Caenorhabditis elegans: one gene and its partner. The protein of the gene in region 1 interacts with the protein of each later gene in a pairwise test. Each region holds a gene or a part of one and is shown on either strand. Other genes may lie near its edges.

Evidence for each region. Proteins that work in one complex are often made in the same cells at the same time.
Region 2: the proteins of dpf-7 (region 1) and Y51H4A.8 interact in a two-hybrid assay, tested with the Caenorhabditis elegans proteins (one large-scale study listed by BioGRID).

Annotation. Positions count from the first base shown.
Region 1 is NC_003282.8:4,798,884-4,804,566, forward strand, and holds dpf-7 (Dipeptidyl Peptidase Four (IV) family), read right to left. Parts: upstream 3,710-5,683; 5' UTR 3,666-3,709; coding exon 2,850-3,665; intron 2,419-2,849; coding exon 2,272-2,418; intron 2,222-2,271; coding exon 1,860-2,221; intron 1,656-1,859; coding exon 1,517-1,655; intron 1,470-1,516; coding exon 1,353-1,469; intron 1,067-1,352; coding exon 716-1,066; 3' UTR 501-715; downstream 1-500. Other genes in the region: eor-1 (Zinc finger protein), read right to left, coding at 1-150, 212-293; dpf-5 (acylaminoacyl-peptidase), read right to left, coding at 3,948-4,053, 4,100-4,503, 4,969-5,113, 5,162-5,607.
Region 2 is NC_003282.8:16,574,594-16,580,386, forward strand, and holds Y51H4A.8 (DUF4136 domain-containing protein), read right to left. Parts: upstream 3,957-5,793; 5' UTR 3,923-3,956; coding exon 3,713-3,922; intron 3,617-3,712; exon of another isoform or gene 3,596-3,616; intron 3,410-3,595; exon of another isoform or gene 3,388-3,409; intron 3,165-3,387; exon of another isoform or gene 3,141-3,164; intron 2,918-3,140; exon of another isoform or gene 2,896-2,917; intron 2,795-2,895; exon of another isoform or gene 2,713-2,794; intron 1,180-2,712; exon of another isoform or gene 1,159-1,179; intron 1,036-1,158; exon of another isoform or gene 1,015-1,035; intron 906-1,014; coding exon 555-905; 3' UTR 501-554; downstream 1-500.

The sequences.
Region 1 (5,683 bases):
TTGTGATTTTGCAATATTTGAAAATTGCGTCAAAATATGGACTGTGAGCTGCTAAAATGTTTCGATGAGCCGCAAATGATTTGTTTTGAACAACAATTTCCACATCACAAAATCGGCCGGTTTTTCGTTGATATTGTAATCGTTGGAACACTGAAAAATAAAAGTTAATTTAATTATCAAGCCAAGATTGAATTAAATACAAAACTCTTACACATATGACTGGTTTGCCCAGAACTATCATCAAATGTCATTGGACAGAGCCCTGTGTTTTCGGAACTAGCTACTAATGTCATCTGAAATTAAATTGAAATAATTTTCATTGCGATTTTATAATTTATTCGATGGGAAACTCACATTTTATCGAGGAAGACGTCAATAAACTTAGAATAAATGCTCCGATTCAAATCGGGTGAGGAGTGTGCAGACGCGCTCTACTGAACAATCTAAAAGATTATCGATTTGCAAATATTATTTCAATGGATTTTTAACGATAGTTATATATTTAACGAAATTCAAATTTTATTCGAGATTTCAAAAAAAGAAAATATATATCTGAGCATAACGACACATAAAAAATTTAAAACTGAGCGAAATTCCAATTTGTAACATATTTTAACAACGAATTAAAGCTGATGTAGACATTGTTCTAATCGGCGTTTTTTTAATGAATTAACAATATAAGTTAGTAATAATTCAAGAAAGAAAAAATAAATAATTAATCATCAGGAACCGGCGTTTCAATTCTAGAACCATTCTCGTATTCTCCATATGGTGTTCTATAAAATTGAATGACTTTCACAACGAAATCATTCACTTGTTCGTCTTCTTCTTCGTATTCTCCAAAACACGGAACGCCATTATTGTGAATTGTAGACTCAAAATCTTTGTACTTTGTATCGCTTTTATTCTCCAGAACAATCAACATCGGAGTAACAATTTCAGACGCATGTGAGACCGGCTCCACGTCTTTCAGAAATTCAGCTTCAGGGTTTTCTGTATCAACTGCACACGTTGTGAATGGAAATTCGAGCATCGGCCGTACGAGTGCACATCCTTTATAGAATTTCTGAAAATAGTGAATTAAAAAATATGAAAATCCATGAGACGCTAAATTTTGTGATTTTCGTGCCAAAAATAGAAAAATATCGGGGTAACGACACGACATTTTTTGAAAGTTAAAGGTGGAGTACCGAAATCAGAGACTTTGTTTTTTTTTAACTATAATGTCGCAAAACTGACGGATCTATCAATAAAACTTTCAAAATATTTCTGAAGAAAACATGTCGTGTCGAAACCGGGTATTGTATTTTTCACCAAAAATCGCAGAATCTCGCGTCGATGTAATATCCCACCTTATGTTTGATAATCAGACTACACGCCACAAAAGATCCAAATTCAAATCCATACAAGTAAATATATTTTTCATCTAACCGCGCTCCGTGTCTCTCGAGAACTTCTAGTACAGTTTCCTGTAAAAAAAATCATAAAATGAGGAAAAAAACGAACGATTCTCTACATGAACATCATTAATACATTCCGAACCACAATTCTTTGGAAAGCAGGTTCCTGGAATTGCTATAAATGGCTCCCGATAGTTTACAACTAGCACACAGAAGCCACAAGTTACCATTGTAGAGAGCACAGGGTCAACGGTACTGAAAATTTAAATTTAATTTTAAATTTATAAATCAATTCTTTATAAACAGGGAAAATTGCTATTTGAACATTTTTAAATTAAAAAAATAAAGATAGAAAATTGCGGTTGAAATTGAAAGCTCGATCCGTGAATTTTGCAATTCTTTCGATGCTTTTTTTGTTGATTTTTCAATAAATTTTGAGTCTAAAGAAAAAAAATCTACCTAACGGTGAAATTAGGTTCTAATCCGGAAAAGGGGACCACGACCAGCGGGAACTTCGATCCGGGAGAAACACATTCCGGCAACATGTAGAGTATCGCAGAATTGCCAATTTTTTGAAAACTCATTGGATAAATGTGAAAATTGTGAATCGTATCGTTTTCTGGCTTGTGTGTGCATAACAGCGATGCCGTGAATTTACCATCACTTTGTGAGCCCAATTGAGAATGCCAAAGACGAGAATAAGCGTTTGCTGTGATCGTTTCAAAAAGGAATTCATCGCCTCGAACATCAATAATTAGTGAAGGCCGTTTCAAGTCAAGGCACGTGGTTCTTAAACTTTCAACGTGAATCGCCAAATTATTCTGGAAATAAATTTATTTTAATGCAGAATTAAATCGAATATATTTGTTACCACTTGATTCTTGTAATTCGTGTTAAACAATAAATGCTTTCCATTGCAAGCCCACGGCCTATCGGGAACGCTCCATACTTTCGATTTTCCTAGTCTCAGCACGTCATGTCTCACTTGGACGGCAGCTTTTACAAATGGGTAATGGAACTGAAAACGAAGAAAATTAGTTTTGTTTAAGGAGAACAGTTTTGGGTATTTATAGATACAAAATCTGCCAAAAAAGAACTAATTTCTGAAAAATTAGCAAATTTTTAGCTAAACCTACCATCTTTTCAATTTTAATGTGGAAATTAATTTTTATTCGATTATCGGCCTATATTGCATATATTTATAGCTTATCTCACGTTTTTTCGGTAATTTTGACATATTTAAAGCCGAAAGGTAGCCAAAAGTGACCAAAACACGTGCGGTAAACTACCAAAATTTGCAATAAATGATGATAATTAAGTAAAAATCAATTTTAGACAGCTGCGACTTAGATTTGAGATTTTAGCTAAAATTCGATTATTTTCGATATATTTTTTGTTCATTTAGGCACATTTTGTGTCTAGTCTACTTTTGAATTTCCTATATCTAACCAAAATAATATCAGCATCATTGTGAATATTCGGTCGTAGAAATACAGCCATTCGACTTTCATCTGGCGAGAAAGTAATCCTCAACGGAGCCGATAGATTCGTTGATATTTCATTTATATATTTCTCTCCAAATCTGTGCCAGAGAAGGTCTTGTCCTCGATGAAATACGATTCCCCGACCATCAGGCGTCCATTCGACTGCTGTGATCGTCTGATTACAAATATTCTCATCAGTGATTACTGTAACTCCTTTCGCATCGAAATCGAAGATGCATATCACAAATTGGCGCTCACCACGTCCCTGCGTTTCCTTTTGTTCTTCATTTGGTAGTGCAAAGTAGAGCAATTTTTTATTATTTCGAGAAAGTTTGAAATGAGCATTTGGTCCTGTCACAATAATAGGTCCATGATATACGTATTTAACTAGAGCTACCGTGAATTTTGCCTTCTTATATTGAACATCTTCTACTTGAATAACATCCTTATCGTGACCCATTTCTATGGATTCTGCTACGAATACGCAGACTTTACAATCATCCGAAAATATATGGGTGAAGTATTTCCAATCTTTATCCGTTTCCGTTTCCATTAACATCCAAAGTTTATTCCTCGACACTAATCCACGTGATCTCATGTATTGCCGTTGATCTGGGCACTCTAATGTCTCGTAAATGACCCAAACTTCTTGTGGTTCGTAATCGGAAGGAGTTGTGATACGTGCAGTATTCACCCGGAACTGAAGCATTTGTTGTGAGATTGTGACAAAAGCTTCATGCATTTGACGAGTGGCCAACGGGACCTCCTCGTCTGTAGACATTATAGTTGTACACGTATATGATGAAGCTGCTAAATATTGACTGCCTGTAAGAAATGTAAGAAATCTCTAGGAATTTCAGATGTTCAATTTAGAAATTCCACTAGAAATAATTAAAAATGGGAAAACCAAAACCGTTGAAAAACTGAAATCCTCCAGAATATACAAACCGTTCATATATAAGAGATTTACAAGGCAATATCACGGGAAAATGAATGAAAAAATACCGGGGGCAGGAAAAGAAGCAGCCGATGAATAGATAAATACATATAGACATTAGTATATTTACTGAGACAGTGATTTCTCGAACCAGCGGACCATGTTGATTGCATAGTCGGCCTCAACGTTGACCTCATCAAGTGGATGGTTCGATGGTGGGTAGGTGAGAACCCTGAAAAAAAAAACAATTTCTCTTGCAAACAATTTTTCAAGAATACCTTGCCGGAACTCCACGAGCCTTGAGAGCACGAATAAATGCTCTGTAGTGAGGAACGACACGAAGATCCTTTTCACCAATGAGCAAGAGATACGGAGTAGTTGCGTTCTCCACATGAGCAATTGGCGAAGAGTTGAACATTTTCTCCCGTTGTTCGGTGGTCGTGATCTTTGTCCAGTCTGGATATTCTCCGGTTCCCTCGAAATAGCACCATTCAGGAATATCAGTGATATCATGCATTGTGGCAATGTTGACGACTGGATTCAAGGCAACACAACTTTTGTAGAATCCTGGATATTGTCCAATTAAATGAGACACCAGGAACCCTCCATGAGATCCTCCGAAGAGTACAACCTTGTCTCGAGAAATACGTGGATTCTTATCCAAGACGGTGAGAACTGCGTTCTGAATTAGTATTAATTACATTGATAATACATGCGGTGTAGTCGAATAAACGTTCTAAATTCTTTGACAAAACGATATGCAAAACAGCACAAGAATGTCTAAAACGGATGTTTAAAGGCTTCAAACTACCGAAAATCATTATCGTTGTTTAAATTTCGCGCGTAAATGTGTTTCATGGATTTTCAGCGGATAGATTTATTCATTTTTTGAATCTAAAAACGATTTTTCGTATTATTTTTGACTTTTGTTAAAAGTTTTGTCAGAAAACATTTAAATTTTCAATATAAAAACACGAAAAATCGACTAAATTCCAGAAAAATAAATTAATCGGTAAGTGGGTTAATTTTTGCGCGAAATTCAAGTTATTCGGGCGAAGAGGTTGATTTTCGGAACTTTGAAGCTTTATAACATCCGGTTGAGTCTTGCCATAACACAGAGAAAGTTTTAAAAAAATGTTCTCCTTACATGAACATCCTTAACATCCATATCTCCGCAGTTTCCAGGCAGAGCACGAATAAAATCGTCACCAAATCCGAGTGATCCACGGAAATTGACTTGAAGGACGGCATATCCAGAGTTGAGAAGAGTAGTAAGATCCCGACGTGGCCAGCTGAACTTTTAAATGAAAAACGTTTAAAAAAGGGAAAAAGTAACTCACCTTGCCATGGATGCACCATGAGGTCCACCATGGGGATTCACAACCATTGGAAGATTGTTTCCCTCATTTGGAACAATCAGAATTCCTTCGTAAGTCGCTCCGTCACGCTCAAGATTCACAAATTCCCAGGAGAACTCGAAGAGATGACGACGTTTATCAACAGCCTTCGCCTCGTCGATTCGCACCCAAACCATTTCCTCGGCTTTTCCTGTCCCTGGAAGTTGTCCCAGAAGAACGTTTGGTGGGCGATTCGGAGCAGAGACGACTGCGAGCACTTCGTTATCATAGACATCAAGAAGAGACCAAGTTCCAAGGCATATGGAGTGATTGGTTAATTTTTCAATGTTCCCAGTTGCGATGTTAACGGAAAGCAGTTCCAACTTGCTGCACCAGGAACTTGAAAGGATAAGACGCTTGGAATCAGTAGACCAAGAACGAGTTGCTGTCTGTAAATATTGATTTTTGAAAAATCGGTAATTATATTGCCTTATATTCTGTCCCTTCCTCATGTACATATCGAAA
Region 2 (5,793 bases), about 12 Mb from region 1:
TTTTTATTCCCGTAATCCATCATATTACATTGACCACTTTTACCGCTACTTGCCGACTGAATTCACAATTTTTTTCATCTGGAAATTATTTTAGCATTAACAAAAATATTTATTTATCAGTTTTAATAAGAAAACACGGGAAAAATCGGTGAAAAACACAAGAAAACAAAGCAAGTACAAAATGTCGTAAAATGCGGTGTATTGTGTGCAAACACCGATTTTTCGCATTTTTTCTCGGCCCTCGTTCGAAAAAAGTTGCAGTGATCTGGCATATCATTCAATACTGAATCAAAATAATGCACATCTTAAGTGATGTTAATGAAACAGTCAAAAATTTGAATTCTCAAAATCAGATCAACTTTTAATTTTTCGCTTTCAACGCCCATAAAAACTTTATGTTTCCCTGTTTCAAATAACGTTAAAGTATTTTCAACTTTTTCCGTATTCTATTCTGTACGGCCAGATCAAATCCCATGTTCAAACTTCAATACATGTAAAAAATTCTCGCTGTTAATATAATTTTATTTCAAATCCACAAAAAGAAAAAAAACCAATTAACCAACAGTAACAATAGGATCTGTATAAAACTGTGCTCCTCTCTTCGTCGTCAACTTGTCCGCCATCTGAGAAGCCAACATCTTCCACTGGCTCTCATAAATTGCAGAAATCGCGGTCACTTGAACGGTCAAAGGGACAACAAACGGACTTTTCGCGTATTTTCCATCGGTTCCAGCCTTCGCTGCACACTTATAGTAGACTGTGGATTGTTGTAGAACACCGTAACCCGCGGTGTCGGCGGTGCACTCGGTTACTGTAGTAAGTGTGACGTTTGGAGGCGAGAATGTGATGACTGGTGGGTTTATGTCGTTTAGGGGGATACTGTTGGCTTGCAATACGTCGTTGATCTGAATTTTTTGAATTTTTAAACTTTTTTGGTATTGTATAGTGTTTTTAGTGTTTTAGCGCTCTACTTGGTTCCATTATTATACAAGTTTTGAGCAGATAATTTTTTTTGGTTCGTATGGACAAATTTTAGCAAGCTCTCCGAAATATAATCTGGTAAATGAAATATTTGAAACAGTTTTTTTTTGATAATGGGTATAAATACTTTGTGGCTTATTTTGAAACTTAATGTTTCAGACTTATTTATCTTTAAAAAAGAATTCAAAAGATCGACAAACGAATTAATTTTATACAACCTGAAAAATGAAATATTTGAAACAGTTTTTTTTTATTGATAATGGGTATAAATATCAGGTTGTCCCATAAGTTTTTGTACTATTTTTTTTTTTGAAAAAAATTTATTTCTCTCAAGCGACAAGTAGTACTATTCACACAAGTATTCACCATTAGTGTCCACCACTTGTTGCCATTTACTAGGTAACATCATGATGCCACGGGAGAAGAAATCCGGCGAACGCGATGAGAAGAAAGTGGAGAGTTCAGTTTTGAGATGCTCTTCGTCGTCGAATTGCTTGTCGCGCATGTAGTCACTGAGAGACAAGAACAAATGGTAGTCGGTTGGTGCAAGATCTGGAGAATATGGTGGATGCGGTAAAACAGTCCAACCAAGATCTTGCAGCTTTTGGAAAGTCTTCTTGGCGACATGAGGCATAGCATTATCGTGAAGAAAATATAGTTTTTCATATTTTCCGTTGGTCTTTTCTGCAACTCGGTCCAATTGGGCACAATAGTAATCAGCAGTGATAGTTTTATTAGTTGGCAACAATTCCCAGTGCACGGGTCCTTGAACACCCCACCAGACACAGATCATTATCTTTTTTGGGTGAAGATCAGGCTTTGGCGTCGGTATTCCTTTCTCACCGATCGGAAGCCATTGACGTTTTCTGGAATGGTTAACATAGAGCACCCACTTCTCATCTCCAGTAACCAGATTGTTCAGCCAATCGAACTTTCGACGAAAAGTTAGAAGTTGAGTACAAACGTTGACCCGAGTGAGCTTCTGTGATGCCGAAAGTTCATGAGGCACCCAAATTCCAAGTTTTGAAGTAAAACCAAGGCGACCCAAGTGACGTGCAATTGTGCTATGACAACACTCAAGCTTCTCTTCCATTTCACGAAGACTAAGACGAGGCTCTTCCTCCACCAGCTTCACTAGGTCTTCTTCATTTAACTCTACCGGTCGCCCAGAACGTTCTATTTCTTCGAGACTGAAGTCGCCGTTCTTGAACTTTTGAAACCAACTCTTTGCTGTATTATAAGAGAGTGCTCCCTCACCCATCGCACCGCATATGTTTCGTTCCGCTTTCATTGCTGAATGACCAAGACGAAATTCATAAAGAAGAAGCAATCTAACGTCTCGACGTTCAAGTTTGATGATTGTCATCGTGGCAAAGTAGAAATGGATGAAATGAATCTTTTCTGGAAGGGGACGACCCGACCTTGACACGACCTACGATGAAAAAATTTTAAAACTTTCTAGAAGTTTTGGAAAAATATTTGAAAAAAAGTACAAAAACTTATGGGACAACCTGATACTTTGTGGTTTATTTCAAAAATTAATGTTTCAGATTGTTATCTCTAAAAAAAATAATTCAAAAGTGATAACAAAATAGATTTAGTGGTAGGTAGACACATCTCTAGGCTCTTCTCTTTCAGCATACTTTTTTCAGTCATTTCTCCGCTCAAAATGTGCGAACAACACAGCCATTTGCGGTAACGAAAACACCCCAACCAGCTCTCCGAAACCGGGCTGCGATGTCCGAGCGGTTAAGGAGTTGGACTTGAAATCCAATGGGCATTGCCCGCGTAGGTTCAAATCCTGCTCGCAGCGAATACTTTTTGGAAAATATTCCGAATTAAATCTACAGGCTTTTAAATAAATTTTTTAACTCATTGACCGCGCACCTAGTATGTCGCTTTTGAGTGATTTATCAGTTTCTAGGAGAGAACAGAATTATTTCGATTATTTGCAATTGGCTATATCAGTATAGTGAAACAGTGAGAATTTTTTGTGTTAACACAATGAAAATAGAAAGATTGTAATATAATCATGCATTTGTACTATAGAATATAACATGTTTCTACAAAATAAATTTTCAATAAAACGTAAAAATTTTATTTGTAAAAAAGTATGTTTTATAATATTCTTATTAGCTCACTGTTATCTTACTAGGGAGTGTTTCAACTCTACGGTGCCTAAAAAGTTATTATTATTGTTTTCGTCAAAAAAAAAATTGCCTCCGAATTTTATGGCCCACTTATGGGTTTTTTTTCAATTATTGTAGAGATTGGAATATGCTATACTTTTCTTTAAAAGTGGCAAAAACGTAGTAATTGGCACTTTTCGAAAAAAAAAAGAAAATTTCAATAAAATTTTTAATGTTTCAAAAGTATTTCATTAAACTTTTTATGAATCGCTTTTTATTGAATAGGCTGGCTTGATGGAAATTAAGAAAATATATGGCTTTTCATCAAAACTAGACTAGAATTTATAAAGCTTCTGAGAATTTCAAATTTTTTTCAAATAATAATGCAACCGTTAAACATTATGCGATGTGTTGCCATTTCACATTCTTTTATAAATTTGGCAAAATTATCCACCACCATAGTTGGACATTTAATAATTGGACTTTTAATAAATGCAATTATACGAACTCCAAAGAAAACTGTAGCTGTTCATAAAAATTTTGTGAAACAGTAGAAATTTTTTCTGTATTGGGATTTTTATTTAAAATTGCATTTAACTCACCGCACTCTGCACATCCGACACCACAACTCGCTGAGCATAGGCTTGATCAAACTGTCCGTTTTCAAATTCTGCTAGAGAATCATAGGTGTATAGAGCAGGAGGGTTCATTTCATAGCTGAATGTTCCCTTGGAGCCCAGCGTTCCGGTACCCGGAGCACAGGCTCCGGCTGTGGAGATGAAAAAGCAGAGGAGCAGTAGAATTTTAAGCATTTTGAAGGTTCAAATCACAAAAGTTAAAAGTGAAGTTTAAACCTTACCTCAATCCTTTTTTATACCGTTTCCTTAACCTTTGCCCCACAATAGCTTATGTTTGTTTCGATTTGCCAAAAATGTTTATATTTGTCATAGTTATGGCATCATTTTATTACTGATTGTTAACACTTTTTCTTGTGGGTGGGTGTGCCAACAGTAAGAATAGGTAAAGCATACTAAGCGGGGGTAAAAGGGAACTCGTAAAAATTTGAAACCCAAAGATCGAAAAATTGTCAAACAGCCGTTACTAAAATTTGTTTGAAGGCTGAAACTGAATTTTTTTTTTGTTGCAAATTTTGAAGATTTTGTTCCTGGATTCGATTTGAAAACTTTAAATACAATGAAAATCCAAAAATAGGTGGAGCCTATTATTGATTATACTTTTATCGGAAGCTTCTGGTTTAATTTTAAATTGTTTTACACGTTTGAAAGCGGATCACTATCAGAAATAGATCAAAATGTGATGAAAAGTTTTATACGCACGCGGTGAAACGGTAAATTTCGAAATTCAGATTTTTCGATTTCTTATCAATTTTTAAAGTCATTGATGGAGGAGTAGCGCCAGTGGGGATATCATTTAAAAAAACACTCCAAAAAACTCAAATTTTTTACAACTTCCAGTCAAAGTTTTGGCAAAAAAAATTGTAGGAAGTTTTTTTTTGATCGACTTATAAAATTATGAGTGGCAAAATTTGAGTAATAGTCACTTTTTACAGTGAATTTTTAAAAATCCAATTTTTTTTCAAAAAGTTTTACCTTTAAAAAAATGTAGATGCTTTCTTTTAAACCATTGTGTTACTATTAGATTTTTTTCCTATAACAAGACAGTTTTCTGTAAAAACCACCATAGTCACTATTCCAACTTAAGAGGTTTTGCTTACATTTGACTACTTCTGGCAGATATTAATTTCCTGGTTACGTTTCAATTTTTTTAATTACCAAAATACAATTTGAGCGTATGAATAAAACCCAATTTACAAAGAGTATAATAAAAGCATGTTGAAACAATAAAAATTTTAGAAAATTTTTTTTTTCCGAAAAGCGCCAATTATTAAGTTTTTGCCACTTTTAAAGAAAACTATCCCTAAAATAATTGAATATTACCGTTTGAAACATAAAATTCGGAGGAAAACATTTTTTTTTCAACGATTTCCAAATAAGTGCCTAACAGAATGGTTGCCATTTTTGAAATAAAATAAACAACATTTTCAAAAAAAGTTTTGAATAGTTTTACTTTTTTTGAATTTAATGTTTTAAATTAATTGTTTTGAATCATATCATTGAAATTTTAAGATCTTTCTCATGAAAAAGTTCTGAAATAATAACTAAAATATCAGTGACGCAATATAAATATTGTGAAACATAATTTTTATAAGTACAATTTTTCTGTAGAATTGTTGTATTCCATAGTACAAATCATGATTATATTTGCCTTACAACCATTCTCGCTACATTGTGTTAACACAAAAAATTTCTGACTGTGTCACTATGCTGATATAGGCAACTGCAAATAATCTGAATGGACACGATTTAAAAATATTTTTTATTTAAAACAATTTCAAATAACTGATAAATCGATTTAACGCAATAGGTTAATGTTCGGTGCGGTCACTACTCCAACTTAAGAGATTTTGCCCAAATTTGATTATTAGGTCGTTCAATAAGTTTTTTCGTTTTTTTCTAGTTTTGGTTTTTTCTTGGATAATATTTTGCGGTTGTATAGAAGACTGTTAGTAATAACAAGCCCAACAATATCAGCCATATCGGTCAACTTCCAGATTATTTAAAACTCAGAACTATGATGACGAAAAAAAAATTTTTTTTCGAAT